3 linked regions of the Neodiprion lecontei genome follow. The protein of the gene in region 3 binds, or shares a complex with, the protein of the main gene of each other region. Links are inferred from orthologs where the notes say so. Each region holds a gene or a part of one and is shown on either strand. Other genes may lie near its edges.

Region 1 (10,594 bases), on a different chromosome or scaffold from region 3:
TATCCTGTCATTAGAATCAACGAAATTGTTGACTTTGTCAGTGAGCTGCAAAGCCAGGGATTGCAAACGGCTGGGTTCACTGCGATGCATCACAACTGTCTCCGTCGGGTCATCGAGCGATGCCATCAATTCTTCATTAATTATCATCTTACTGATAATCGAGTGAACTACGGGGCGCTTCAACTGGAACATCTCTGCCAGTGTGGGCATTGAAATCGAGTCATAAACATGCGAGTAAGTGAACAAATAAGTTCGCAGCGCTTCCTCCTGTATCAGCCTTGTCAACATGGCCCGAACCTTATCGGTTTGATAGAAAAGATCCCAAACCTTGGCGTTCATTTTCTCATTGATGATAAAATTGTTGCAGGCAGCCCAGTTTCCGTTCCGCATTGCTTTCGCAGCGGCAACAACATGTTCCCTCATCGATTCTGGCGGACCGACCAAAGACTGTCTCTCACTAGATCGCAATTGTTGGTAAAACGTTTTAGAGATCATTCTTCGCCTGGCGTCAAATTCGTGCGCAGCCATGTAAGGAATTTCAATAAGCATAGCAGACACGAGGTAAACGCATTCCAGCAATTCGAGATTGATATGCATGTGGAACGGCATTTGACGCTGCTTCTCAATCTTCTCCTGTTCTTTGCTTCGTTCGTGTTGCCGCTGCGGCAGCAAGCCTTGAGCGAGGAGCTCTTTAACTTTACCAGTCATCATCAAGTCAACCAAACAATTATGAGCATCTTTGATGTTTGCATGTCTAAACGCACAAAGTCCAAGATGAGCCATCGTTCTGTTGTACAGTATTTGCGTAGCCGGATCTGAATGCTGAATGGTTTCTTGCAAATGGGACATCAGTATCAGATCTCGAGCTTGGAACCAATTGTCATGAAGCGCATGATGGTAAATATGCGAAAGAATAGCTCTGGTCCGCAAACGATCTGTACCATCTTTTGCATAGACAAATTTGCACAATTTTTCCATAACTTGGACCGACGTTACGACATTGGAAGCAATTTCGCCATCCTTCTGTTTCAGCACAGTCGGATCAAACTTGTAGTAAAGATGTTCGATCTTGCGAAGGTAAATCCGACACAATTCTGATACTACGCTCTGCCTCTCCAGATACTCCTGCACCTTGTCTATAATCGTTGATACGCGTTTTTCGTCCTTCAGTCGCTCGACGTATTCGTTGCTGTGCGGATCGCACTCTTTAAGCAGCTTGGTGAACTCCTCGTCTAATCTCTCGACCAGAGTCAGCACGCAACCATGCAGCTTGTACGGCGGTGTTTCGTATTCCTCTGAGTCTTCAGAGACTGTTTCTGCGATTACCATATCTGGAGTGCTCAGAAGCATGTCTAACATCTCCGATATGCGCTCAAGAAGCTTTGACCAGTATTCAGGTTTCATCGCATCGGAAACTTTTGGGTTATAATCAAATATTGAAGAGATTATAGAAAACTTTATCTTGACGGCGACGGCTGGCCCGAGATTATGAGTTTCAGCAATCGACTGCAGCTCATGAAGTAGTTCGATCTGCTCTCTTCTGTCTGTTCGCTTTTTACCGCGTGCAGCTATCACCTCAGTTAGTTTCTTCAACACGGCCTGCACATTTATCTCAGCATCCTTGGCGAACATTTTAGGCTTTTCTGACGGTATTGCCACACCTCCTTTAACAGTCTCCCATTCACCCTCGCCGTCGTCTTCATCACGTCTCTTCTTTCTCTCCTTGTCTTTGCGCTCTTTGCGTTGTTCTTTCTTCTTTGCCTTATCTTCGTCATCATCTTTGTCTGTTGTTTTCTTTATGAATCTTTCGCGAATGTTTGTGTACTGGCCATCGTCATCGCTTGATGTGCTATCACTGTCAGAATCACTTCCCCAATCTTCGTCGCTGTCGCTGGCTTCCTCACCGTCGATCGTTGGACCTTTCTACAAACGGAAAAAAGTCATGAAAACAATAAAAGACATTGAAGTAGTTGTGAGGCAAAAAATCGACCCTTTTTTCAATTTTATTTAAGGGATCATCAGTGTGAAATTTTCAAAAAATCTTTTTTTTTTTGCACTATCGGATAGTATACACTATTATAAACATTCTCTCAAATTTTTTAACGAAATTCGAATTATTTCAGTCACTACAGCATTTCTTAGAGAAAGGGAATATGACATCTGCTGCGTTTGTCTCCCCATTCAACTGTTATTCCTTTTGTCTTGTTCCTACCTGCGCGTGTACGTTCCTGCAGGAAATGAACAATTTAAGGAAGCAGAAGGAATATTGTATGGACCTGGTATCGCCGATTGATCGTAATTAAACGATATATCTACAATTTTCTAACTTCAATCTTTAAACGCGTTTTTCTCGGAATGGTGTCCACTCTCAAAGGAAGAGTTTTCAAGCTATCCATTTGCAATTTTGACAGAACATTCTTTACGTCATTCTCTATCGTGCTATGGAAGTTTTTTTTTTTTTAAATCTTTCAATTTTTTTTTACGAAAAACCGTAAAAAAAAAACTGAATTCGATACGTTTTGTTCAAACCGCCGCCATTTTGTCAAATTAAAAAAAAAAAAAGCGTCCATAGCACGATAGCGGCTTTCATACAGATTAATAATCTTTTTGCAATTTTTGTTTCAGATCAGGATTAAGACCGCAATCCTGGACACCATGCAGGACCTTTTTTTTGAATCGGACTTTTCAATAATTTAAAACAATATTAAACAATAAATAAATCAACTTACAAAAAATCATTTTATATTCTTCATCACTGCCTTGATGTGCAAAAAAAAATCAAACCGATTAGTTTATCCTAACCATAAAAAAAAATCGCGAAAATCAGTGATATTTCGGAGGATCACACTGTAATGTCCCTTAAAGATCGTCGTACATTGCGTATTAATCAAATTGTTATATTCCAAAGATCTCTTTCAAAACGCCAGAATAGAAAATACTGGAATTCTAAACATAAGATTAGATATGGCTGTTTTATTTCAAATTACTTCTAAATAAGTAGAACTCTAGTAAATTTTTCGATTTCACAATACATTGTTACATTTTAATCAGAAGATTATTTTCTACACTGTTACTAAGCCAGATAATTTTTTTTAACTAGTTAATTCAATATTGCCATTAGTTGATGATGAATACTACTAGTGCAATATTATGTAACTAAATATTTAATGATGCCAGCATGATAACAAAAAAAAAAAAGTACTTCAGTAACTTTGCAGACAATAGTTTTCTAAATGAAATTATTGGTTCTAGAATGAAATCAAACGAATCTACGAGATTTTTAAACATTTCAATGCCTTTTAGAAAGCATGGATACTTATGCTTTTGTTCATAATTGAAGTATATTCCATTTTTAAAGAAATCTTCGTAGCTTACAAATATAATGATTTGATAGACTCAATGAACGACTATTTCATAATAAAATTATTGTAACGTATTGATTTTCGACCAACCAACGGTCTTAATTAATGCGGTAACGTGACCACGATCAAACCCTACAAATATAATGAAAATTTGATAAATGCTAAATGAACGACTAATTCATAACAAAATTGATAAAAAGTATCAATTTTGGCCAACTAACGAGCTCAATTAATACAATAATGTAACCACGTTCAAACCTTGAATTTCGAAACATCAGGAGCATTTGCTTCTGCTGAACTAGCTTTCTTGAAGGCGTTGGCACGATCTTCTTCTCCATCCGACTCCTCAGCCTCTTCAGCTATGTGATCATGTTAAATAATTAATAATATGTAACATTAACTTGCTTTAGTTGAGGTAACTAAATTATATCTACATATTTCTCTGCGTTAACACTGTAATATTCAACTCTGATAATCGAAACTGCACCTTTTTCTTCCTCATCTTCATCTTCCTGGTCAGGATTCTCTTTGAACTTGGTAATATCCTCCTCAAAGTCCTTGATATATTTCCGTATCTTCTGGCGTAAAGAGGTGAGTGATTTGGAATTATTTTTAGACATATTCTTACGATCTTCCCAAACATCAGTAATAAAATTCTCCAACTCGACTAAACATCGTAAGTAAAAATGTGGCGTCTGGCCATTTTCCTCCTTGGCAATAACTGGCAGTGCCTTTGCATAAGCTCGCGTCAACTGTTCGAAACCTAGAACCCACAACACCAGCGTTAATTTATTCCATACAATCCCGAACCATAAGGTCGCGTAATACTAATACTTACTTGTGAGCATGCTGCTCATATCCTTGATTTTTTTGTAATTTCTAATCAGTTTAATCAGATTTGTGATTTCCTCATAACGCTTCTCTTTTGTTGAGCGCACAACACGCTTTGTTTCTTCCTCATCATCACTGAACTGTAAAGAAAATTTATTCGTTTACAAAGGTGAAATGCGTGATAACCAAAACCAGACAATCGAAGTCTGTTTGTGTCACATAACGGTAGCGAACTTCAACGTGATTTAAGGTTAGATTAAGGCAAGGTTGAAAAATACCGTATAAACTGCCCCTGTGGGCCTCTGAATCTGTTCCTCCTCAGACGAGCTGTCAGACTCGGAGTCCGATCCGGTGGCGAAAAATCGGCTCATGATTAGACTGAATCTGTGAAATTAAACTGTACAAATGTATCACTGCTGATTTGCACGGCTTACAAATGAGTTGTCAAACACATGGCACAGTAAAATAGACTGCTTTGGCCTGATTTTAAGTCCTAGTCACAATTGGGGGCCGTAATATTTAGGAGAAATTTGATCATCCTACAGAGGAAGTCTTTTCTTTATTATACAGACCGTAATAACTCGTTAATCAATTTACCTGTGATCGCCTGCAAAGAAATCCCCTTACGGGTAGCCGTTCAATGTAAAGAGGCCGATCGCAACCACGATCTTACATACAGGTCTGGCAACGAAGCTCAATTTTCTACAGAGCGGCGTGCAGCGGCGTGGTTCTCTTTTTGTCCGTGATTTTTAGTGTTTGAAATAGCCATGTCGCAGCGCTGCTATCTCGGGATGTACGTGGGGTAGGGATGGTACGGATGAAAATGTGCCAATAATAATATTATTATTAGGATGGCGATGCATTGCGCACGCGTTGATTATCCATCTCTCGATCACAACGCCGACCTGGCGGCCACAAAGTGAGATAAATAACCGGCCGTGAAATCAACCACCCCCACTACCTTCGTTGCCAGACCTGTATGTAAGACCGTGATTGCAACGAAATAAGCTTGGCGTCGACAATTGTAACCTGTAATAAAATAGATATACATAGACGCGGATACGTCATTGAAATTTCGGATCATGTCAAATTGTCAGACAGTGTACACCACCTAGCGGATTTTTTAACAAGCTGTTGCAATGGCGATTGTTACGCGGTTTTTCCACTGGGTTTTTCCCAGTGGGTCTTTCGCCAACATACATTGTTACATTTACATGTATGAAATACATAGAATAAGGATTACTAAAAACTATGTAAATACTGTACACCGACTCGACGATGGTGAAGTCTCTGCAACCAAGTACATACATACCTAAAGTGTGCTCGCGACATATGTAGAGATGATGACATGAGTGAATTTATTCTCAAAGAATTTTCGACTCAGTATCTCGGGTCCTAAAATGTTGCATTGATTATTCACTCGTTACTAATAAGTCGAATTTTTTTATTGTGATATATTCGTATAAGATACGATTCATTTAAAAATACAGTACGGTATACAAGTTTTGTTTCGCATTTTTTTGTACATAAATATTGACAATGGAGCATATAGTTTAATAATAATAATAATATAATGATGATACAGCACAATAAAATACTTTGTTTTTATATTAAATAATATGATATAGCTATAACAAAAATATTGTGCTTGTTTTGTATTATCAACAATCGTAATAACAATGTGAATAGAACAAAGGTACTAAGTATGTAATTTATCTACTGCGGGAATGTGCATAAAACACCGTGTTTTCATTCTTCAACATAGATTATAATAATTAATAACATAATAATAATTAATAACATAATAATAATAATATGAATTAATATTTCAATTAACTATGATGAACAGACTTCATACTCTGTGCATTACATATACATGCATACCTATATGATATACTTGTGGAAAAGGCACATCGTATTTCAGGGAATATGTTCAAGAGCTTTTCTTGATAGCTGTTGATTCCATTTTCATGCTTTCTTTTTTCAATCAGTCAGTTCCGTTCATCGTAGGCTGCGGAGGTGCTTGGTCTTTCGATTTTCTACGAACCACTTGCCTCTGGTGCTCATATTCAAAGTCTTCTTCACTCAATTTCAGTCTATGAATCTGTATTGGAGTGAAATATGGATATCATATACTAACAATAAGTGTTCTTTCCATTCCGAATGAATTTTTACTTGTAAGAAACTCATTTCATTACCCTATTTGTGAGTGTCTCTAAAGGTGACACTGCCACTTCAGGACAATCGATTAAAATCTATGTAGAGATGTAGTGCTCTTTTATTGCTAATTTCTTGCCAAAATTTTGACTTTCTTGCATCAGTCGTTTTAGCAGAATGGATGGCGATACTAGGTTGAAAAAAATTGGCATTAACATGAGTAAAAAATGAAAATGAAAATAAAATAAAAATGGTATGTTTAGCTACTATTTAGTTGCTTGAATTTCACGAAGAAATACATGTGAAATTATCAACTCCCAGCTTGGATAACTACCCCTGGTGTAGTGAAAATATGAAATTACACAATATTCTTTATGTGAGCAATATCGCGATCGGTATTTACTTTTAGAATTAGTTGCTTTGTCAAAATCGATGGCATGAGTTCGTAACTCACCTGACGTTGGCCGAAAGCCACCCCTAGTATGATAAACATACAAAATTACGCGAAATATCTTTCGTTCCGTATTTTTATCACACTAGTAATGGTTTTCGGCCAAATGCACGCAAGTAACAAAATCACGCAGTAGTTTTACAGAGTAACTAATTCTAGAAGTAAATACTGATCGCGTAATTGCTGAAACGGATCTGTATACTGGCCAAGCTGCAGCCTAAAGGTTAAGCAACTAATTAGTAATTAAATATACCATTTTTATTTTATTTTTATCTTCATTTTTTATTTGTGACGGTGCTAGCTTTTTTCAACCTAACATCGCCATTGAATTTGTCAAAATGGCTAGAGTGACAAAGTCGGAATTTTGGTAACAAAAAAGCACTGAGTCTCTACAAAGATTTTAATCGATAGTGCTCAAGTGGCCATGCCTTTAATGACATAATCTGCGGAATAGTGTCAAAATGTTACCTGATTCACGAGCATCTCCTCCTCCATGAGCTGGTGAGGAGGATTCCTCAATTGTTGAAGAGTTTCATACATGGTTGGACAGTGTTTGGTGAGAGTCGAGCGGCCCAGACAACCCTTGAGCAAAACTAGTCCAACTTTGAAGATAATCTTTACTCCTTCGCAAAGAAACATGTCCCAAACACGCAAAATGCTCTCCCAGGGTAATGTTCGCGTATAAACGCATAGAAACCATTCAGTCATGTACAAAATTGGCTCCATCTTCTGTTTCTTCTGTAATAACAAGCGACAAGCATCCATGAGAATTTCGCAGTTTACAACCAGAAAAACGGAAAAACCAGGATTATATCTAATGTGTGTAACAAATATCTAACTGACCAAATGTTTGTAAGCAACTGGAGACACCCTCTTTAGAAGTGCAAACAAAATGTCTCCGTCACGCTGCAGTGTTTCCATGCCTTGACTGTAGTAACCCACTAAATACTTGTCGCAGACCGCGACGAGACACCAAAAGGCCTGTACAGCGGGCATATGCATGAGTAAAAATGCTGCGATGGGTGCCTGAGCTTGACAGTAGCCGACTTTGCTGTTGAGAATGGAGTAGGCCTTGAGAACTTGGAACAATTCTTGTTGGCCAGGTGCATTCTCAACAAACATTTCATGCTGAGGAAACTGCCGGTGAAGATCCTTCCGTATATCTTCAATGTACTTTGGATCTCCAGGTCTGGCAATCAGCTCTGCATATAAGTGCGGGTTTTCATCCATCAGCAGTTTTCCTCCGCAGAGGTAGAGCCATGCACGTGGCCTCACAGATGGTGGTATTCCCTTCCGACATCTCTCTCTGACTTTGCGATAGTTTGCTGACATAAAGTTGTTCCATTTTCCCAACATTCGTAGCCATTTTCGCTCCCTTCGAAGTATTACCTCTGGCGGCACAATCTGTCTTCTGTTCGAAAAATAATAATCAGTAGTTATTAGGCAGTTATTGAATATCTGATGATATACACTTCACATTTCGATTTACAAGGCTATAGAAGGAAGTAAAGGTTCAAGTTCTGAGCAGATTTTTGAACAGGATGTCCAGTGATATCAGAATAAAAGATTCCCGTATAATTTCCGTATATTTCTGATTATTTTTTTCAAACATGTTTTCTCCCGTATATTCGTATATAATGATTTCTATGGCGCTTGTGTGTTGTCATGATATAATTAACACTGAACACCATCATATTCTCTATACTCCAACCAATCTACATTTTGACTTTTATATGTTTCTACTTTCTATGTTTTAAAAATTTTTAAATTACAGCGATATTCCGAAGAAATATTAATTTTTAAAAATTCGTTTTTCTGCAGGTGAATGTAGAAACAGCAATTTAATTGCAAATTCCCAGTTGCTGGGAAAAATTCCTGTATAATTCTTGTCTTTTCAAGGCACTTTAATTCCTGGCTTTCCAAGAATTCCCGGTTGCTATACAACCTGTTAAAAGACTGTTTATTGCTTGCTTTGAAAAATAAATGCAAAATATTTGACACCACTGGAGAAATTCTGTGATAAGTGTAAAAAAGAATAATCAATTAAATTTAAGTAAACGTGTTCGGTTAGTGTCTTTTTCCTTCAAAATGAATATTTGAAGGAAAAATTATACTTTAAACGATTTTTTGCAAATAAAAAATGATCACAGTGAGAAGCCAAATTCTATAAGATATAAATTTACATCACAGGGCAGTTTTTTCTAGGATACAGCGAGAATTTATTGTCCGTATCAATATCACAACTGGTAATTTGATCATCTAGCTTGAGGATAAGTTTCACCAGGATATGAAAAAAGTAAGTCTGAGGAGAACTCTGTGAGATGGATCATAAGCCACCTTTATTTACTGTATGAAGTGGCGGTTATCGGGATTAATCATTCTTTTTATGAAATATTGAACTAACAATCAGTTTATCTTATCCTGTTTCGTAATAGGGACTTCCCCCACTCTCAATCATGTAAGCATCGTAATAATAACCAAACTTATGTCAGCGTAACAAGAATATTTCCACCAATTTTAATATTAACAAAATTAGTGGTAAGAGGAGAATGAAATTGATTGAATTTTTGCGGATTATTGAGTGTCAATCTTACGGTTCAGGACTATACTGCGCTCCTCCCAGAAAGCCATGCCTGTCAGGTACAGTTGAAATAACAGATCCAGACTGAAAGATGCTGCTCGCTTCGGACCCCGAGTCTCCGTTTAGGTCCTCCTCATTTTCCCGTGATCCCGAGGCAGCCATAGCATCTTTTTAGCCTGAATATAAATGGCTGGATATAAAAAAAGCGAAAGTAGTAAGCCTAGTGAATGATGAAACGAATTATTCATGCTCGCAAAAGAACTTTCCAATATCTAGCAAACTGATATTCAAGGTCTACCGCTGCTCTTATCGAACATTGAAATTCAAATTCGTCTGCTCGATATTAACGCCATATAATATTCAATTTCAAGACTCCACAGAAAAGCAGAAAGGATTCAGCTCTACAACATTTGTTGCTGTTATGATGAGTCACGGAGTTCGTTCATAAAAGACAAACATGCGGATATAAGACCGAATTTAAGTATGCAGCAAAAAATGGGGGAATGAAAACACCTTATTTCGTTGCAGCTGATGAATGTAGGTGGTGCAACCTGCAGCTATCACAGATTAAGTACCTTATCACGGATGATAATAAACATAGGCAAGAAATCAATTAACGATATTTAACTCGGTTGAAGAATTGCTAGGAAATCACGCAATTCACCAAATAAATAACCGTTTCCACATCACAGACATTAATGTAGATGGACAAAGCAAAGGAACCGCCTTAATTTGACAGTCGCCGTCGTGTTTGTGCGTACGGATCCGCTGTATTTACCAACACCGAACACGCGTATGCGAACGATTTTTATTTTTCCCCGTTTTCCGCCTCTTACTTTCTGCTTCATCACCGTTAATAAATTAAAAATATTGAATATACTTGCCCCGTCGATGATTTTCACTAAAATCATTCACATTTGCAGAAACACGCGAACATCATAGCACAATGCGATATAACTTTTCATCGCTGACTAGACGAGTTGCGAATTTATTACCTACGGTCTAAGTTATTACCAGGGTTGCGTTGAATTAACCTGAAAATTTATTATTCGTAAATGTTTTTTGCTTGGTTAGTATTGTGATGCTTAAATTCGACGTGTGTGCGAACTTGGGAATTTAACTCGACGATGATGTCACGGTGTAATTTATTATTTATACAATTATTTTATCGATTGAATTCTTGAAATCGAATCGACATAAGTCTGCGGTTAG
Region 2 (10,159 bases), on a different chromosome or scaffold from region 3:
AGATCAGAGAGATCACAAGATCCATTTGAGTTGGAGGATGCTTCTGTATATTTGTCTATCGGCAATGAGTCTGGTTATTCGTCAAGAGTTGAAACAGAAACATTTGGAGACATGAAACAAAGTTTCAGCAAAGATGAATTGGGAGACATGGTAGATAAGAACGGATTGGATCAATTTTATTTGTACAGACGAAAGAAAAGACCGTCTATTACTGGTGAAGATAAATTCAACAAACTCTCTGACGAAATGATTCTGATGATCTTAAGGTGGCTTCCGAAAAAATGCTTGGTAACCACCATCTGAATTTTCTCTACAACGTGCATTTCTGTTTCTATTTTTACGTATTTAAATATTTGTATAATCTGTCTTCAGGTGCGTTCAATGCTTGTTTGCAAACGATGGTGTCAGATTGCCCGTGACGAGGCATTGTGGAGTCGTTTAGACCTTGGTGGTAAAGTTTTGGGAGAAGGAACCCTGGGACATATCCTGCCACGAGGTGTTCAAACATTGAGACTGGCTCAAGCAGAAATCGCAGACCCAGTATTTCAGCCAAGCAGTGAAACTCTGAACGAAAATTACGTCAGTAAGCTGCAATACCTAGATTTGTCAATGTCCGTTATATCGCCTGATGGATTGGCAGCTTTGTTATCCGTGTGTAAATTTTTGAAAAAATTATCTCTCGAGAAATGTACACTGAATAGACTTTGCTGTACTGCTATAAGCAAAAATCAAGACTTGGAAGTTCTAAATTTAACCATGTGTGAAGGAATTGATATAAAATGTCTCCAGGATGTTCTAAAATTGTCAAGGTGAGGTACTTGCTTCCCAATTTATACTTGTTATTTTTTATTTGAAAGCTGTAATCTCAGTCTTATTTTCATTATTGTTACCTGTATAACATTTCTTGTTCATTTTAGATTGAATGCTCTTAACGTTGCTTGGTGTGGCTTGGATTTAGAATGTATGACATTACTTTGTCGACAATTACCAAGCACCATTACCCGGCTGAATATTGCCGGATGTCGGAAAACCATGACAGATGATAGTAAGTATATAAATATATAAATATAAATATACATAATAATATAAATATGTATAATAATAGGCTATTAAATACTATGACCCTCGACGAAGTATTTAAAAGTTTGTTATTTATTTATTGACTTATTTTTGCAGATGTCAAAGAGTTGGTAAAATGCTGCCCGCGTATCATCGAACTCGATATGAGTGATTGTACAATGCTTACAATCAATGCCACCCAAAGTCTATTAAGCCTCACAAAGTTAGAACACTTAGCCCTAAGTCGCTGCTACAGTATTCCTCCTACCACTTATTTAAGACTAGCTCACATGCCCTGCCTAATGTACCTGGACGTCTTTGGATTAATGGCCGAACCTACTTTAGATACACTGCAAGCAAGTTGCGGAAATACTGAAATAAACAAGTTCCTATACAGTTCAGTCGCCAGACCGACAGTTGGTGTTAGGCGAACGAGTATTTGGGGTCTTAGAGTTAGAGATTAGGAAGCTAGAAGAATTGAAAAAAATCTCATTTAGTGATTTACGAAAAACCAGAGAATTCGACTAGTAGTAGGTATAGTTGATTACAAATCGCGTTTTGTCGCAGTAACTGAGAATAAATCGGACTTAATCTCTCGTAAATACGAGTAAACGATTTCTTGAAAACTGAAGTAATAATAATAAAGTAAAAAGTTCATTAAGGTATGTATTTCGAAAGTAGTGCCAGAAAGCGGTAATAGAATTGATTTTCATTTTTGTAAATAAATTCTCATACAAGACGATTAACACAATAACATAATAATAATAATAATAATAATAATAATAATGACAATAATGTTGTTAATGATCAGTCAATTATCTGCCAAATGTGCTTACTTGTTGAATATCAATTTTTTTTTTGTATAAAATCGCGAAATTCAGCACTGTAAAAAACCTGTAATACTTTGAAAGGTAATGATTATTTTTATAAATGATATTAGGAGAATTTTTCTTTCTTATTTTTATGTCACACAGTCCACACATTGTAATCTGCATAACGTGAATTAATGAATTTTACAATGCTTCTCCCGACATGAGTGATGTGAAGCGAGTTTGATTTCTTGTGATTTTTTTTTTTGGAAACCCATGATACTAGATGTAAGAATGTATGTATACTATTTTTAAGATGGATAGAAAGGAAAGTCCTTTGATACTAAAGATAATTCGGTATTTTCCTTTCTTGCATCAATATAGTACCGAATTTTCCTGGAAATCCGGGCTTACTGGATGATTATATTATTGACGACTATGTGAATTAATTATTATTATGTATATTCTATAAAAATGAATCATTATGGTTAATCTGAGTTCAATTCTCTTTTGCTTAGTTTTCAGCAATACCCAACTCACTTTAAAGTTATTTTGTTGCAAGTGTGTAACTATCAATAATCAGAGGAGTTATATTTTGGACAATTTATTAAAGAATCAAAGATACAACTGCAGAGATTGCAAAACAATACCTTGGTTACTGAAACGTGGAATCCGTTCATTCAATTTATATATATATATATAAACATTGAAATATTTGATTATAATTTATTACACAAGATACATATCAATAGGGTCTTAACGAATGATCAATTATTGCGTCAGAAGGATTTAATCTTGTAAAACGGAGTCACATGCGCAATTGACATCTAATTACTTTGTGTGGGGGGTTTGGACCAGTCCACATTTAAAATAAGGTGATCGTAACCATGTCCATGTAATTGAACAATAGCTTTAGCAGCATCAGCTCGGAATTTATAATGAACATAAGCAAATCCTTTACACGAATTAGTTAGCTTTTCCTTAGCAAGGTACAGTTTTTGAATTGGTCCAAAAGGCTTAACAAGCTCTTCCAAATCGGCGTCGGAAGTGCTTTCAGAGAGGTTGGAAATTCGGATCGCTGTTGTATCGTCACGCTTCGTCATCTGCATCGAATCTCCACGTCTATTACCGCCATCTCGCATATTGGGTGGTACGTATCTACTACCCTGAGGTTTATTTAGATCAGACATTGCTCCAGGTGCTCCTGGCACTCCAGCTGGTTTCTTATCATCTGGAACTTTACCTGGAGTAAAACATTTCAAGATTATCAGTAAATTAGAAAGATGGACTGAGAAAAGCTTAATTCTCTTTTGGTACCGAACACAATTACTGGTTGAAGGTAAAAATATTTTAACAATTGAATGGTCGGTTCATCTGAGGAATAATAAAATGTTCAAACTTTAAGGACGCAGTTCTAACATTTGGAAAAATGTTTCCTTTGAGACAAAAACTTCCTGTTACAGTATAAAATCTCTCAGTATTTCGTCTTACTTTTTCGAAATTTTACTAATACCTATAAATCTATTCTAATCGCAGAACTTGTATAGCGAGGGCTCCTGAATATTATAAAGTTTTTGGATGAGTGAATGCAAGAACTTCAAATAATGGGTAAATATCAGTATCAAGTTACCTCCAGCGAGTATAGTGTCTTTGTAAGGACACTTTGAAGTCCAGTGATCACCATTGCAGTTACGACACTTGACGACACCCTTGTCCCCGATACTCTTCAATTTGTCAAGTGAGTCTTCTTCGACCTTGTTCTCTTCTTCCTTATTTGAAATGAACTGCATGAAGACATCTTCTGCTCCGACAGTTGTGGCTGGATTTGGTCCAGGTCTGTCGTCCGAGGAGTCTCCAAACTTTGCCCAGTTTTTCCGCACGGCTATAGTCTTTGATACTATACGACGTTCCACCTTATATGTACGGACAACTTTTACTTTCTTATCGTCTTCGTTGTATTTGTATTCTGTAAGGATTTTGAATCCATTTTCATAGACCTCTGTCGGTGGTGGCAGTGCTCCTCCTTCTTCCTCAACTTCATCTGCCCAACTGGATTTAACTTCTTCTGTTACCGGCATGTCTGCAAGTTTGAAAAACACCTCTAATCTAGTAGATGGGTAAACAATAGTGTTGGGCCAAGTATATCAATCCTAACGTTTTTTCTACCTTTTACTAGTTGTTTCTCTTTAACGTTTCACATGTCTTTTAATTGTAACTTATCAAACTTTTCAGCCTCTAGAAGAATTCCAATTCAAGCGGAAGACTTTCGATTTTAAATTACTATCAATTTCCCTGTACAGGAACCTTCGATTGTTAAGAAACATTTGTTTACACCTGATTGATTAAGGAAGTGTAGATAGCGAACGGAATAATAGCGAGCAATTTACAAAGTAAACGATCTTCATAAATTTATAAATGTATATTTAGGATTTCAAAGAATGGTGGAGATCCAGAATATCTCTGCGTTTGAAAGGATAGTACGACTCAGGATGGAGCATTGAACTATTTGAGGTTAGGGTATCGCAACGTCTCGAGTATTGATACCCATCATTCCAATCAATTCATGAAAGTAGCGTCGATTAAATTTAGAAACGCGACACAATGATTTGGCAACTGGAAGACTCTTTAACCTGGTAAAATGATCGTAACATTGTAGAAGATACTGAAAATTGCATTTGAGTAGATCAACCTCACGTGTCATAAATTTTGGAATCTCAGCCGGCGTTGAGCACCTTAATGAAAAATGATATGGAATAGCAGATATTACTATTATATTACAAACTTACCTGTTCTCCGTGAGTAACGGTATCGGTGTAACGAAACGTAATACTTGGAAGATTTTAAAAGAACTTGACAACGCTTCGTCGTACATATGTCCGTCGGATAGACGATCAGCCAAAATGGAAGAAATGCCAGTGGCGTTGGGGGCGATCGCTGCTCCCTCTGTGCGTTACATCGAAAACTTTAGCGACGAATGTAGATGAATGGCTATAAGTTGTCTGTGGATCACGGTGAATGCAGCCAGCATCATGTCGAAATCGTATCTCTCTGATGTTCTGCAATAAGTTCTCAACTCTACCGTTGGAACATCTCAGAGGGCGCAAGCGCACGACGATTTTCGGTTGTCACACCAAAGTCCACTAGGGGGACTGTCTTTACATTCTTGAGTCACCGGCGAGGGAGACGAAGTGAAAAAAATGGCGATGTCTAGCGTTGTCGCTGTATCGTGAGCATAATGGTTTTCGGCACAACATTACAGTTGAAAATACGATAGAGTTTCATTATTAAGTGTGAATTATTCGTTACACGACGAGTCTCGAGTACCCACGAAGAAGAAATGGATCAGGCTCCTGCAGGTAGAGAAAAAAAATCACAATCCCAAGAATCAACGAAGCGCGGTATTATTTCCACACTACGTATCACGTATCAATTAATTTTTCGGCTTAATTTTTCGCCCATCAATACAATATTACTCTCCACCTTTACAACTTGACGAGTAAATACAAATCACTGCAGATTTCTCTCACCCTGTGCTACACAAACATATCGTTGTGTACAGGAATTGTATTAGGTTATGTGGCTCCTCTCACGTCCACCTTAAAATTGCCGAAATCGGCACCCCGATGAGAATTTGGAATTTTGATTTATTACTAAGTATGACTATCTACGAATCTTTTACAACACTCGGCGAAATATCGGTGATTATTTTTGTTTTCCACGTTCACATTCATTGTCCGTTCGCTGCTTTCTCTCCTACAATCACCCTTCAAGATATACAATCTGTTAATCAAACCTTAGGTATGGTTATGATTTTAACAGGGTAAATATTTGTATTCCATATTCATTTCACAACACGTAATCGACATCTAAATTGCGATCAAACAAGTCTGGAGAATCTTTTAAGTTATATCATAAACGATTTGTCTCAAGAGAAATATCTGATACTCTTCAATACCGCAATAACATTATATTGATATCCTTATCTTGATATCATATCTTGTTCTGCGATGGTTACATATTGTTTCCATTTATATTTTAAAGTTAATAAATAACAGGATAGCTATCTAAATGTTGGATTATTTTTTATATCAGAACTGTAACTAGGATATTGTACTTATATGTCATAATGATTTCTTGAATATTTTAGAAAATAATCTGTCTAGAAAATAATACCGGGTAAGATGATGATCCTTTTTTTCCATGAAATATGATGTAAGCTTACATTGTTGTTGGATGCCGATTGTTCTAACAAAGTTCTGTTTTAAATGATTTAATAGACACGGACTTGCGCAACATCATAGACAAGCTGGCTCAATTTGTCGCACGTAACGGACCAGAGTTTGAGCAGATGACGAAAAACAAGCAAAAGGATAACCCGAAGTTTGGTTTCCTGTTTGGCGGAGAGCACTTTAACTACTATCAATACAAAGTGACAACGGAGCAAGCCAGTAAGTGGGAACAAATCCCCTTAACAACGTACAAAAAAAGGTCTTCGTTCAATGAGCTAGAAGCAAACCCAAAAAAAAAAAAAACAAAAAAACGACTATGAGAAAACGTATGAAATCGTCAAATGAACAAAACATCACCACCGTGCAATGAGATGAAAAATGTCATTTGTGCAAATCAGGACATCGTTCAAGATTTTGGGAATCGTTATTTATTATAAGACTTGAAAAAAACTAGAAATGTGAAAGGGGCTTTCTTAAAATACAAATAAGAACAAGATGTAGCTTTAGGATTGTTATCTGATCCAAGATTAGATCGGCAAGGATACAAATGTTTAAAATACCAACTACTTTTATGTTTATGAAGAGTACTACACACTGCCGCAGTAAAATCTGTTTTACATACATGCTCCTGTACTCAACTGTTTGGTGTAGCACGATGAAAGAAAGAAAACAACACATTCTGTGTTCAGTGGCGCTTTAAATTTAACAGTAGACTTAATGCATTCTTACATGATGCCAGAAAAATTAATATGTGCCATTCGAAGATATTCATCCAAAAAACAACCGAATTAAAAATGACAAAAAAATAACAAAAAAAAAGTAAAAAACATGGACCATTAGTTTATTTTTTCAATATCATGAAGAAATGAAAACAAATTGCAATAATCCACCGTCATTCGTTTACAGTTTTAAAGCAAAAAGGAATAAATCCAATGCAAAATGCCGACCCACGTTTAAACGTTTCGCAGCAGCAGCAAACAGCCGCGGCCGTCGCTTCGCCACAAAATAACGTCAGTCTTGCCTCGAGCCTGAGCGCTCAAAACAACGGTTTAAGCCAAGTGGTCGGGAACCCAGGGCCCGTTATACCAGGGATAACTGGGGTACCCGGAGTATCCGGAGTTCCAGGACCAATCGGAGGGCCTGGAAATGTGGGACCACCTGTTGGGGCCATTCCTGGACCAATAAGGAACGTGAATTCGCCGATCGGAGGAGTTAATTCTGGTGTCAATATTGCCGGTCCTTCAGGTTGGTTGCGAAATGAACTTGCGCAGCTTCAGTCACAGCAAGCTACACTCCGAGAACAAGTTAGGCAATCTGAGCAAAACCTCGCTGCCCAACACGCCGCTTTAATGGCTCAACAACAAGGGAGAGTCGAGGAGGCTGTCAGACAAGCTCAAGAAGCATCGCTGCAAAATAATGCTCAGCATACAAACACTGACCTTTCTGCATTTGATTCTGTACTACAACCCATTATCGAGAGCTGCACTAAGGACAGCATCAGTGCCGGAAAGGCTTGGATACTACAGAATTCTATCACAGCACAAAGCAATCAAGTTATCGCTGAGCATTTGCTGAAAAAGTATGTATATCTGTTCATCACCATTTCTCGATGTGTTTAAAGTTATCAAAATTTCACATCAAAGCTTAGCCGGCAACAAAACCATATTAATTTTTTTTTTAATCGAATTATAGTAATTTCTGTAATAAATTTTAGAGTAATTCAAGGAGCAGCTTTCAGCCAGAAGTTACACGTGATTTACTTAGTAAACGATGTTCTTCATCATTGGTAAGCACACAAGTGTATTTCACAAAGAGGATTATTATTTCAAAAGTTTATTTCGACTCAGTGCTTACCTGAAGGTAGGATAAGCAGACTGGTCAAATGAATGCAAACTGGAAATGCATATAACTGGTTTATAAAAGATATTCTAGAATTGGTTCTGTACCTTTTTATCCAACACATACAATATAATCATGTATACATTATTGTAAATCTTAAAACAATTTCTTAGTGCGAGGAAAAAATCAATCGATCTTCGCAAAGCAATGGAAAGCGTTGTTGTCCCGATGTTCTGCAACACGTCATTGGCTGCTACCGATGAACAGCTTAATAAATTGAACAAACTTTTAAGCCTTTGGGAATCTAAAAATAATTACTTTGACGATGGAATAATCGAGAAGTTGAAGCAACCGAGTATATCTTGGTCAGAATACCAGGCCAGTTTAGTTTCAAAACATGCAAGTGCCATTACACCAATCACCACATCAACCAAACAGACTTTTGAAAATTATCAAGCTCAGCATCAGGCCTTCATCAATCATGCTATGAGACAAATTCAAACTATAGAGCAGCAGAAAATTTCCATTGATCAGCAGCTTAAAGCTCCACCACCTCCGCCACCGCAAATGGTAAGCTTTGTTGTAAAATAAACTGATATTGCATATTCAAAAAATGTTTCGCGCTTCTAATTAATGAAAATGTTTTATACAGAACCAACCAAATTTAAACATACCACCAACTCACACTGGGCCGCCTCCTCCAATGTCTGGTGGTGATATGAATTTTAGTCAGCCCCCACCAGGCTGGGGAGTTCCTGGGGCTCCGGAACCACCTCCGTTTACCAATGTTCCATTACCGGACTTCTCTAAACCACCACCTGGCTTTGGCCCTCCACCGATCATTCACGAACCATCCATGGAAGATCTTATGCCTAGTATGCCATACTTCGAATTACCAGCTGGCTTAATGGTCCCACTCATCAAATTGGAGGACGGCGAATATAAGTCATTAGATCCAGATGCTATAAGACTTCCACCACCGGCTCCACCGAGTGATAGATTAGTTGCTGCAGTCGAAGCATTTTATGCTCCTCCAAATCACGATTCACCCAGGGATAGGTAAATCAATGTTTAGTAATAATTTCATGTTATACCGACACATTTACATACGATATTCAGGCAAATACACCAATTCACAGCGATGTGACGCTGATGTTAGGTATATTACTATTGGACTAAATGCATGCATGCTTATATTGTTACTATCGAATTTTAGTGACGGCTGGGAGAAACTCGGTCTGTATGAGTACTACAAGGCGAAAAATGCGGCACGCAAACGAAAGGAGGAAGACATTCTGAGTGGATTAAGACAGAGGTCTCGATCACCGTCCCCTATTTTAAGGCCACGATCTAAAAGCCCGAGTCCGCCCAAAAAACGATACAGAAGTAAATCTCGCAGCAGATCCAGGTCTAGATCGAAGGGCCGAAGCAGATCTAGATCACCAACGAGTAATCACCGGCGCAATTCCCGTAATAGTAGCAATCACAATAGCAGGAGTAGGAGAAACAGAAGAAATAGCAACAAAGAAAGGAGTCCAGACAGCAAGCGAGGGGACAGATCTGACCGAAGTCCTACGCCACCTAGTTTTCTGTAAGCATATTTACGTCATTATATTTTTTTTAAACTTAATTAGTGAGTTAAAATTATTTAAAATTCGCGTGGTTAGTTTCCTTGTACGATTTTTCGTAACTTTGTCAAATGGAAAAATCAATTTGTTGACTTTTTTCGATATAGTTCCGGTACAAAAGTACATTTTTCATTCAAATGAATTTTACCAATATGTGATAACGAAATGCTGACTTATACACTTCAATAGGGGATCAACGTACAGCAAAGCACAGCAGGAGATAAGTTTAGATGAGAGTAATAAAGGCCATCAATTATTGAAAAAAATGGGATGGGGTGGAGCTGGTTTGGGTGCAAATGAACAAGGAATTGAAGCACCGATATCAGGAGGGGAAATACGGGACAAAAATGACCAGTACAAAGGTGTTGGGATTAATTTGAATGACCCGTACGAGAACTTCAGAAAAAGTAAAGGCCAAGCTTTTATCACGCGAATGAAAGCAAGAGCGGAGGAAAGAGCGGAAGAAAGAGCAGAACGAGATTGAATTATTTTATAATTAAATATATGATATTGTCTCTAATATCGACATTGTAAGACAAAAGTGCGGCTGTTTATACGTATACTCACGTGTACGTACTTGTACGTGTACATAATA
Region 3 (11,223 bases):
GAAGGATGCTTTCACAAAACTGGTATCGTAACGGAAATTAGGTCCGAATACTTTATAATAGATGATAAATTTGAATGCCAAAACGTAAATGCTTCTATCGGAGAAATCCGAGTTGGAGCCAAAGTGTATTACCTGGCGTTCCAGAGGACAAAGGGTGAGGAGCTAAAGATAAAAAAAATTTTATCAATCATTGATGACGAATGGGAAAACGAAGTGGCAACTTGCACCGAAGATGCGGTAAAATCCCAAATGCTGAATCGCGTTATTGTTGGAAAGGTGATGCGCAGGGAGCAGAGGATGGTTTTTATTGAGCCTGGCCAAATTTCCTTCAGCCTTGACGAAATCACCTCTGAATTTTTGCCCATCGTCGGGGATTGGGTCAAACTTCAAACCATAGTAGCAGTTGACGACAACGTTGTAGATTTCAGCGGGGAAGTTCTTCAGGTTGACAAAATTTTTCCTCTAAGGTCAAAACTCGCCACTGGTGTTGTATCTGCCTATGACGTCAAGTCTGGTTCTGGTACCATACAGCATAACATCGTTTTTAACAAAGCCAACTGCGAGCCTGGATATATTCCATGTGTCGGCGATAAAGTTGTCGCAGATAGCATCGAAAGTGATCAAGGAATGCAGACGTGGAGGTCATTGTCGGTCGTTCCGCTAATGCATCAGGTAAAATGAATTCCTGAGTGTAATAGATTACTGAAGTCCTCTGAAAAATTGTACAAGTTCATTTATGTCCTTTCTAGGTGTCGCAAAGACAATTGTTCAATAATCAGGCTCAAACTGAAACTGTAAATGAAAAACAAGAAACTTTTGGAGAAGAAAAATATGGGATAGTTGTCACAAATAATTTGATGTTCGATTTGCAATTGCTTGAAATGAGAGATATTTCGATAGAGATAAAAAATAATGGACTTCACCCACAGACGTTACTCAAAGGATGTTTTCTGTCAAAAAAATCCATGTCGCAATTGACTTTGTTGCGACCAAAAATAGATACTGCGTCAGTATTGCAGCCTTCGGAATCAATAACATATGTATTCAGATGCCATGCAAAATTTGTCGGGTATTCGGAAGAAATGTTTCTGTTCATCTTCAAACATCTGAAAGTCCATCGCATGTTTCGCTTCAATGTTAGTTTGAAAAACTCCGTAAATCATAACGTGCAAAGCGGTCAAAATCCAAGGGGAAACAAAATTTACAAGCAAAACGAGTTCGATCAATCGACCTGTGTTCGTGGCGTTAGAACCTGTCAAGCACCAAAGTTCATTACTGTCAGGCCTGGAATATTCAAAATACCTCAACACTTATGGGATGTCGTATTGCGCCTAGAAAATGATAAAATACCTTTTCGGAGCGGCATTGTGGCGATAGAAGAAACCGTGCCTTGCTTATTCGAAGATTTGACGTTTCAAAATTACAGAGATCGATTTCATGCTCTGTTGTACTTGGAAAGCATAGCTGATTCTATAGCTTTACAACGATACGACATAAGCAGTACAGTCATGAGATTTTGCGGAGAATTTCTCGCCCTTGAAGTGCCAGGACTAGCGGAAAAACGACCATCGCTCTTAGTCGGAGACAAAGCCATAGTTTCTTTCAATTGGGACTCCAGCAAAGGTGAATTATGAGCAGTTCTCACAACTTTTAACTTCGTCGACTCCTGACAGAGGAAGTTTCTACTCTTGTCATTGAAACTGATGCTTTTATCCTTATTTTTCATAGGTGAAATAAAGTACGAGGGATGCATTCACGAGGTAAAGAACTCGGAGATTTTACTCAAGTTCAATCCAGCTTTCCATGAAAAATATAACGGCGAACGATGCGAAGTGACATTCAAGTGCTCCCAAACACCGTCGAGTCGCTGTCACACGGCCGTTAACTTGGCGATAAATCATCTGGGAAAAGAATTTTTATTTCCTACAAAAATTGTACCCAAACCACCGCAACTGGAACTTTTGGAAATGAGTGACGATGGAGAATCCAGAAACAGTACGTTTGCACGACAAAATGATGTTACTCCAGGCCTGCAACCGAATGCGCAGGCATGTTCGAAGACTGGAGACACTGATTCGTGCGTTTTACAAATAAAAAAACGCAAATTAGTATGGTTCAACAGGGCGTTGAATTACTACCAGAAAGAGGCTGTGCGTAACGTTTTGCAGAGTCCAGCTCACCCGTTGCCTTACGTCATATTTGGGCCACCAGGAACAGGGAAAACGATAACTCTTTGCGAAACGATATTGCAGATATTTAGGACCATACCCGAAAGCAGACTGTTGGTTGCGACGCCTTCGAATAGTTCAGCCAATCTAATATCGGAAAGACTTTTAGACAGCGGAGTTTTGAAACCGGGCGATTTGGTCAGATTGATAGGGTTTCACTGCACCACAGATGGGTCAATTCCGCAGAAACTAATCCCGTATTGCGCTGTAGGTGACTTGGCTCGAGAGGGAACTCGAAATACTCCTGACCACAATGCCAACGGCATAAGACCGAGCTGCAGTGCAAGTGTTTTGGGACGGCACAGAATCACAGTCGGTACTTGCATCTCATTGGGCATACTGCATAACATGGGCTTTCCTCGAGGTCACTTCACCCACGTTTTTGTTGACGAAGCTGGACAAGCTACAGAGCCGGAAATATTAGTGCCATTAAATTTCATTCATGCCGATACCGGGCATGTAATTTTGGCTGGAGACCCAATGCAGCTTGGACCTGTCGTCCAAAGTAAATACGCATCGCATTTTGGACTTGGGTTGTCTTTTCTGTCTCGGTTGCTTCAGCGCTTCCCTTACCAACGAGACTTGGAAGGATTTGAGAGGGGCTACGATCCACGACTAGTTACTAAACTCATCATGAACTATCGCAGCTTGCCGGAAATTCTCGCACTTCCGAATTCGTTATTCTATGATTCTGAGCTCGAGGCGCAGGTAATAATCTTTAGCTCTCTTGGTTGAATGATAATTAATGATCGTTTGTCAAATCTCTAGATTACAAGGCAAGGAAAAGAAGGTGACCTGCTCACTTCAGTCGCTAACGATTTACCTGAACGCGACGATTTTCCACCTGCGATAGTTTTCCATGGCGTTCTCGGCGAGAATTATCAGGATCAAGATAGTCCAAGCTGGTATAATCCGGAAGAAGCTGCTCAGGCTTACTTTTATATACTAAAACTTTACAGCCACGGACTTGGCCCTGACGATATTGGGATTATAGCACCTTACACTAAACAAGTAAGATTCTGAAACGTTTCAATTTCGGATTAATTATACAGAGTGCAAAAATTTGGTTCTATTTCATTTTTATATTTTCTCCAGGCTCGTCATATTCGGGATTTACTTGCAGAGATGAATACAACATTGCCAAAAGTTGGCAGTGTGGAAGAGTTTCAAGGACAAGAACGAAATGTTATTATTCTATCTGCAGTCAGATCGATAAGCGATCTAGTCCAAGAAGATGTTAAACGATGTCTTGGTTTTATCGCTTCTCCACACCGTTTGAATGTCGCTATTACCAGGGCTCGGGCACTATTAATTATTCTGGGAAATCCACATTTATTATCACAAGATCCTTACTGGAGAACAGTGATTACGTATTGTATTGACAAGAATTCTTACACTGGCTGTGATTTCTTTTCATCAGCGATTATCAATGAGTAGTGCTGATGAATATTTTTTTTTAACTGTAATCATTGCATCTATGATTTATTGTACACAGGATAAAGAATATGTTCCTAAAAGTTATTTAGATACGTTAGTTACAATAGTGCTATTTAAATATATAATTTTTAATTTTTTAAAGTGAACGATAAATTTTCAAATTGTTTTTTTTTTATCGAACTTTACTTCCAAACAACTGGAACTAGAGATTAAATATTCAGAGATAAGTCAAAAGTTTTAAGACTGTTCCGCTTTGCGAAAATTGGAGACTTTTTCATCCGACCAGCTCAACGGGAATGTTTTAATTATTTACTGGTTTTTTTTTTTTTTTTAATCTTTCTCATGCATCAGGCGTATAAGGAGATAACGTAACTTTCAAAGTATTCAAACTAGTATTCATGAGAATAACAAATATGAAGATATAAATTTCATACTACAGATAATAAAAATATTAACTATATTTAATAAATCCAAAAGTCTATTCGTTACAACGTTTTTTCTTGTCTACTTTCTGCGAGATACCATTTTTTATACAAGAATATTTTGTATTTTTGGCATATGAAATAATAAATTTTGACAAATTATATTTCTTTCTAAGTTTATATGAAATATTTTTTATCATTTTGAAAATAATTTTTCGATTATTCCTATAAACCGTACGAATACCAAGGGGCTAATCGTCAAATTGAATTCTTTTCATTAGAATCAGTTTATTGATTTCACGTATGTACTGCTTACAACGAAATTGACTTGACATGGTGATCTTAAATGACTGTAGAAAAACGGTACACATCCGGTGGAAGTTTGTTACAAAATTCTTCGTTTTTCGTCTGAACATCGTTATCCTGATTATAAAATGTTTAAAATGGTGGAAATCTTTATACATTGTAGAACCTGAAATGAATAGAGCATGGTCAAATAACATTTTCTATAACATATCGTATTTTTGCACGTTTAAACTCATCTGAAAGAACCAATACATACCTTTGCTAATTCCAGACTATGCTAACTGAATCCTGATTTTTCGCCTTCAATTTCCGCTCAATAAGATTCTCCAGAGCTTCACTTCGCACGCTCAGAGTCTCGATTTTTTCAACCAGCTGTTGGTACGGAGAAGCTGGCTGTCCACCCATAACAACATGTCCCAGCTTACTGTCAATCTTTGCGTCCAATCTTGCATTGCGAATTAGATTGACTATCCAACATTCCGCAACATCAGCTTTCATATTAAGTTTTTCAGCCAACATACTAAAAGAGCATAAAAATTAGCTGGCATCCAATCATCTCCACGAAAAATTACAAAATTAGAATGTCCTACAAAGTAGGCCAATACTTACTCAATACTGATGCATTGGTGGATTCTGCAGAATGTTTCGAATATCATTAATCTAGCGTTTTCGACAAACTCATTCAGCAGAGCAATTAAGAAGAAGTCATTGAAGACGACTGTCTGACATTCTTGCAGTTTCTGACGAGCTCCATCAAAATCAAAGTTCACATACAGGTGCTCCAAAAATTCAGTGATTGGATCCCGATACGTGTAGGATTCCTAAACGTGAAAATTATACCGGAATTATCAAACACTGCAGATCAAGATTTCGTAACTGAATTTACCTGTTGGATAACTTTCACCAGATCTTTCAGGGTAGACCGCCTCGATCGATTTATGATTACCGCTGTTGCCAAATAGCGTAGAATATGCGGACACATTGTCTGTATTGCGTTCAAGTAGCTGTAATCCAAAAGGCTCTGTTTTGTCACCCACTCAACACCAGAATTGACGAATGAGTAGGAAAATTATACAAGATGAAACAAAATTGCGTCAAAAATCTTCTTCATCAACGAATCGATAAACAATATAATGTAAATTCTATTCTTAGACAAAATCGGGAGTGTTTGTACTCACTGTGGTCTGTACAAGAACATTTCAATGATAAGGTCCCTGCCTTTAACATGATTGAAGAAAACGAACAGACTCCAGTGAATGAGCCAAGTGCGTTGTTGAAGAACCTGAAGAGTGTTGCCAATAGCGTTACTGTCTATGTACTCTCTGAGTTTATTAACGTCTTCCAGCGCGGTTTCCCAATTTTGAACTAAGATTTCTGACGCCAATTTTCCCCACAGGACATCCAAGTAGTTCTGTTGAACAGAAAATAGTCACGTTTAAAAAAGTAAGTCACATGACACCATGAATTATTATGTAACCTTAGCGCAAATAAGTCTATAAAATTTGAAGAATATTTACTCTATCGGTTGGTGGCATCACAAGCATGTAGAAGTACAAGTACGACGTTGAAACCGAGTAGGTTCCGCACTCATAACGATACTTTGCCAACTTGACCAAGCTCTCCATCATCTCCACTCTGAACTGTAATTTTTATCGCATCATTAAAGTGTTAGAACATAAGACAACAATAAATTCTAAAAAATCCAAAACCCTAAATTCAGGATAACTCCAGCAATATTTTTCTTCCTTGTAAGCCGTCAACAATTCATTATTCCCATTCGATAAAAAAAAAAAAATTTCATGCTTTCGATACTTCAAGAAGTGTATGCTGTTATTGCATACACGTGAAAAATTGATAAACATATCTCAATACTTCAGACAATATATAAATATAGAATTACATCTGATTCCTTAAGGAGAAAGTGGTTGAGGGACTTCGAGTCCCTCATTTTTTCCATAGTTTCCATAGTATCATCATCGCTCATCAATTTCAAGATGACTGAGGCATTATCTTCAAGATCACCAAGCTCTTGCAATACCCGATTACGGCGTTCGTTAAGTTCCTGTAAAAATATTAAATCTTAAAAATTTTCACCAAACCATGGGAGATGGAAAGCATTTTATCCTTATCGACGGTTCGATTGTTAATTATCATTAACGAAACCTGAACCATTGGTCGACATAATCGCCTACCTCCGGCACTTCGAAATTCGGATAAAGTTGTTTCCTGATATCGATGGCGTAATCGATCATGTTGGTTTTGCTCAGGATGTCCAATTTCGCCTGTAGAAGCTCATTCTCGTCATAAATCTGTAATGGCGATTCAACGTCGCGTTATTCATCGATAACCTAAAAACCGCCATGCTCAACAACCTGATGACAGTCAATCAAGCTGGCAGAGAATCACTCACCTCCTTTGCAGATAGAAATTCCAACAGCGGGAATACCAGATGCCGATCAAGGTATTGCCCTATTCGGGCCGTCAGATCAAACTTCGCCATATTATTTTTGATCAACAAAATAATAGTAGCGAATATTAAACGGCACCTTTACACCACAGAGAAGAAACCGGGAATATTGAGGATCACGCACCTCTTGTGCATGCCCTAAAAAAGGAAAGAGGCACAAACTAACGCGTTTCAATATCGGAAACACGACTCCCATTTTCGGCCTCGACTAATTTCAGCTTATGCCGCCAAATAGCGTTTGTAAAATTAAACTTTTTGAAAATAAAATATTCTCTGCACCAATTGGCCAATTTTAACGGATTGAAAAAGGATAAGGTTCACAATTTTTTTTTCTCATTTTACATCTGTTTTAGGTGTATTCCATTCGACCGAAAGTGGTCAGACAATTTAAACTTACACCTGACCTCGCATGTAGGGAAATCCTGTAAACATTTGATCATATTGCGCGTCGCTTACGTGGTATTTTCACCCGGCCATTGAGAGCATATATAAAATAGAGCGTAAACAACGGCGTAAGCGTCTCATGAGCAGATTTAAATTGGTTCTCTGAAGGACAGAAGATAATAATTCTCCCCCCCCCCCCCCCTCTCTGTCACTCTGCCAAGCTGCTACCCCCACTTCACGGGAAAAGAAACAGAGCGCAAAGGGGGGTATCATATGTCCTGCAGAGAACTGATTCAAATCCGTTTCTTCTGAACGCCGTGCGGCATCAGTTGCTTCCGAACAACCAGAGAGAAGTTATGTGCTCTCAGTATCAGATCGAAATTCAGACCGCGTTGTTCAGGTTGTGTCACGTTGTTCGATCAGTGTACTCGCACCATACTCATTTTTAATATTACACGAGGAGCAGTGCATAGCCTGAAGAAAAACCGAGTTATTGAAATAAATACATTCTACGAACGTTGAAGGTGAATTTCGTGTCCCAATTTTTCATTGTTTGGTGTAACTTCAGCGAGTGATACCGATTCTTCTCTTTCTGTGTCGGTCGGTGTTGTTTTTATTTTCGGTTCACTTGTTTCTGATAAATGCGTAGTTGCACTGTTGACATGTTTTCGCTATTCAATTGATCAGGTAGCTAGCTACAGCACAGAAAGTCAGAGTGAATGTAGAATCAAGTGTTATTACGGTGCAGATTCTTAGATTATAGCTTTATAAAGTTTTCAGTGTAAAATGTGCGGTGTTCCACTGTTCAGCCTGAGATGCTGCCAGAACTACAACATGTAAAGTGTGGAGCAGCCCAGAGGAGGTAACAATACTTCTTTTATTCATTGTTTGATAATTCAGGGTGGTATGTATGTACATTCGAAGCCGAAATTTTGTCCTTGCGTAACATACAGTCGATAAATAATTAAGCTGAAGCTACCACCCAATGTTAGTAGTCAAATGTGTTAAATTTTTTGGAGATAGAAAAATGCGGTACTGTTTTATCCTAATAATTATATAAAAGTATCGGGGATTCGAGGTATTTCACAAAATTTTGATTTTCGGATTTCACTACCTTATGCGAATAAACACGAGAACGTTTGGCTGTTAATTCTGGCTGACGGCTTCAGTCTTGTCAATAAATATGGTTGTAGACACCAGTAATAATTGATTTGACAACTGAAAAGCCAACTTGCTAAATTAATTCGAGTTTTCTTTTTTGTTTATTCCAGATTTAAGCAGAGACATCCGAGTAACTTCTCCATTGCTCGGCAACGTTGGTGAGTTTGCATGTGTCAGGTTACGGGTATTTCCCTGGGATTCCTCTGTCACGTGGCGTGGCGGTAACAACTGTTACACAAATCTACGATTTTTTAGCTGCATGGATAGGCTCATTCACGATCGCAACGTGCTTGACTTTCAGTCGAATAATTTCTTTATTCGCAATTTAATTTACCGTAGCTTAATTGAAGTTAGAAATTTTGCACGTTGCTAAAAGTGGAATGAGCATCGCGACAGGTAACCATCGCTTACTCGGCACTCGCGAGATCGAATTGTGTTTCGCAACTGATGTAATAATCTACGTTTGAATTTACCGATGATGTCGTTTAAGCGGTGGCATCACCTGAGATTTGAATATATTCCAGGTATTGGTTAATCGTACTCATATGATTGTTTGATTGATAAAATTCCAAAGTCTGGCATAATGTAACTTAATCAAACTGCCTGTTATGTCTCGAATCATTTGTAACTTTTTTACGGCCAGCAAGTATTGATCAATTGAAGGTTTAGCTCGTTTAGAAAAATACGAATTAACGTACAGGATGTTTCTAATCCATCTTACAAAAGGTTGATGTACCGATAGTCTGCCAAAATTTACTAAGATAATACATACAATTTTACGGTTGGCGGGATACAACCGCGATACTTCATTCTGACGATGAGTAAGCAGACTACGATACAAAAACATTTTGCTCCGAACAGGTAACCAACGAAAATGTAAGTCAGCGACCACGGCGCAAATGATGAAGAATGATGTGTGTTGGAAAAAATGGAGAATCGTTTAGATCGAATATAGGTAACCGGGTAGGTAGGTGGACGTTTTGGGATCCGTCGCGGGGCTTATGCATGTGTGTGTGAGTCTCTCTTTTCCGTTGGGTGGTTCCGTTGGGAAACGGGTAAGGGTAGGAAGGTCGCGATGTACCGTGATGTTACTAACTTTTGTAATTCACAGCGTCAAACGATCACAGAGATTTTTTTGCTCAAAGACTCCGTATTCGAGTCTCTGGGCCATTTTTAAGCATGTGAATTTTAACAAGATTAAATTTACATTTCCTTGTCACTCTGCAACCATTTTTCAATTGTTATTCAATTCAATTATTTGGTCATTACCGATCATTATTCCATTCAATTGATTTCTGTGATCGTCTGAATGGGCAAAACGCATCTCTGGACCATCTATCGCGTTCCGTGGTACGCTAGATGGGGAGAGATGCTGAGCTCGAAGTCTTCGCGTCGAAGAGGACCACCGACCGTCACGCCACACAATAATGCATGCCCTCCAACCTCTCTCCGAATTTCGATTCGATTTTTAATCTGAGAACAACAATCTGCATAGCAATGTATCTAATGCAAAAAGATACAGATGTGGATTGGGTTTCCACAGAATTTTTGGGACAAGTCCCAGATATTACAAATTTTTGACAGTTTAACCTGTCGCGCCTTATTGCGCGTAGGTTAATCCCGAGAATTAGACGCAGCCTTTTGCGCGTAAACTAAGAACGGAAATCCAACGCGCCTTTTTGCGCGTCGAGCTTGCAAACAGTATATAAAAAAGTTACACACTCCCGATGTGCTGATCTTTCAGCTCTTTGGTCAATTTTTTGATGAATAATAAACTTTTCAAGTTCCACAGCGCCTTTTGCGCGTGGACTTGATACCTTTCAGTTATAAAATAAAGCGCAGCATTTGAAAGCCGACGCTCAACGCGCAGAAAAAAAAAATCTCGGTAGTGTAGACTTATACAGTGGAGATTCTTGGCGTAAGTATTTATGAAATATATCTGAAGTGTACAGAAATACTCGTTTAACTGATCGTATTATTTTCTGTTTCAGGGTAACAAAACTAATTTTTTAACAAATGCACTGAGAACTATAGAATGTTCAGTCAAAAAAGATATTCACTTTAATAAATCAAAGCAGAAAGAGATGTCAATTCAAACAATTTAGAATGTCTGTTCAATACAATTAATAATCGAAGCAACGAATATTAAAGCGAATATCATGTTGGGCTCGACCCATTTTTTGGCAATATATGGACTTATGTGATTGTGCTAACCATACCTTTGTCTGTTTCAGCTAATCAAACCTTTTGTCTGTTTCAGCTAATGAAACCTTTTATCTATTTCAGATAATCGAACCTTCTGTCTATTTCAGCTAATCCATATTTTTGTCTGTTTCAGCTAATCAAACCTGTTACCTGTTTCAGATAACTGAATCTTCTGTCTCTTTCAGCTAATCAATCTTTTTGTCTGTTTCAGCTTATCTAACCTTTTGTCTGTTTCAGCTAATCAAATATTCTGCCTCTTTCAGCTAATCAATCTTTTTGTCTGTTTCAGCTTATCTAACCTTTTGTCTGTTTCAGCTAATCAAATATTCTGCCTCTTTCAGCTAATCAATCTTTTTGTCTGTTTCAGCTTATCTAACCTTTTGTCTGTTTCAGCTAATCAAATATACTGCCTCTTTCAGCTAATCAATCTTTTTGTCTATTTCAGCTTATCTAACCTTTTGTATGTTTCAGCTAATCAAATATTCTGCCTCTTTTAGCTAATCAAACCTTTTATCTGTTTCAGCTAATCGAATCTTCTGTCTGTTTCAGCCCGTCAATCTTTTTGTCTGTTTCAGCTAATTAATTTGTCTTTATATTTTTTACTTATCTAAGT

The links.
Region 1: eukaryotic translation initiation factor 3 subunit E (region 3) and eukaryotic translation initiation factor 3 subunit C share a complex: the UniProt entries of both Caenorhabditis elegans proteins name them as parts of the eukaryotic translation initiation factor 3 (eIF-3) complex. The link is inferred for Neodiprion lecontei from reciprocal best matches to the Caenorhabditis elegans genes eif-3.E and eif-3.C.
Region 2: eukaryotic translation initiation factor 3 subunit E (region 3) and eukaryotic translation initiation factor 3 subunit G share a complex: the UniProt entries of both Caenorhabditis elegans proteins name them as parts of the eukaryotic translation initiation factor 3 (eIF-3) complex. The link is inferred for Neodiprion lecontei from reciprocal best matches to the Caenorhabditis elegans genes eif-3.E and eif-3.G.

Annotation. Positions count from the first base shown.
Region 1 is NC_060261.1:25,906,830-25,917,423, forward strand, and holds the start of eukaryotic translation initiation factor 3 subunit C, read right to left. Parts: upstream 4,957-10,594; 5' UTR 4,791-4,956; intron 4,591-4,790; exon of another isoform or gene 4,578-4,590; 5' UTR 4,565-4,577; coding exon 4,472-4,564; intron 4,334-4,471; coding exon 4,201-4,333; intron 4,126-4,200; coding exon 3,850-4,125; intron 3,722-3,849; coding exon 3,621-3,721; intron 1,924-3,620; coding exon 1-1,923. Other genes in the region: TBC1 domain family member whacked, read right to left, coding at 6,181-6,297, 7,270-7,539, 7,645-8,212, 9,396-9,544. UniProt on the Caenorhabditis elegans protein: Component of the eukaryotic translation initiation factor 3 (eIF-3) complex, which is involved in protein synthesis of a specialized repertoire of mRNAs and, together with other initiation factors, stimulates binding of mRNA and methionyl-tRNAi to the 40S ribosome.
Region 2 is NC_060263.1:36,422,334-36,432,492, forward strand, and holds eukaryotic translation initiation factor 3 subunit G, read right to left. Parts: upstream 4,812-10,159; 5' UTR 4,655-4,811; intron 3,949-4,654; 5' UTR 3,947-3,948; coding exon 3,499-3,946; intron 3,112-3,498; coding exon 2,696-3,111; 3' UTR 2,457-2,695; downstream 1-2,456. Other genes in the region: S-phase kinase-associated protein 2, read left to right, coding at 3-288, 373-809, 918-1,045, 1,177-1,523; calcium homeostasis endoplasmic reticulum protein, read left to right, coding at 5,206-5,224, 6,146-6,316, 7,004-7,676, 7,812-7,883, 8,110-8,506, 8,589-8,995, 9,153-9,527, 9,754-10,048. UniProt on the Caenorhabditis elegans protein: RNA-binding component of the eukaryotic translation initiation factor 3 (eIF-3) complex, which is involved in protein synthesis of a specialized repertoire of mRNAs and, together with other initiation factors, stimulates binding of mRNA and methionyl-tRNAi to the 40S ribosome.
Region 3 is NC_060266.1:21,377,969-21,389,191, forward strand, and holds eukaryotic translation initiation factor 3 subunit E, read right to left. Parts: upstream 7,011-11,223; 5' UTR 6,894-7,010; coding exon 6,804-6,893; intron 6,703-6,803; coding exon 6,586-6,702; intron 6,456-6,585; coding exon 6,294-6,455; intron 6,034-6,293; coding exon 5,911-6,033; intron 5,805-5,910; coding exon 5,572-5,804; intron 5,398-5,571; coding exon 5,280-5,397; intron 5,215-5,279; coding exon 5,003-5,214; intron 4,914-5,002; coding exon 4,655-4,913; 3' UTR 4,650-4,654; intron 4,560-4,649; 3' UTR 3,866-4,559; downstream 1-3,865. Other genes in the region: probable RNA helicase armi, read left to right, coding at 1-672, 750-1,623, 1,729-2,936, 2,997-3,239, 3,324-3,665. UniProt on the Caenorhabditis elegans protein: Component of the eukaryotic translation initiation factor 3 (eIF-3) complex, which is involved in protein synthesis of a specialized repertoire of mRNAs and, together with other initiation factors, stimulates binding of mRNA and methionyl-tRNAi to the 40S ribosome.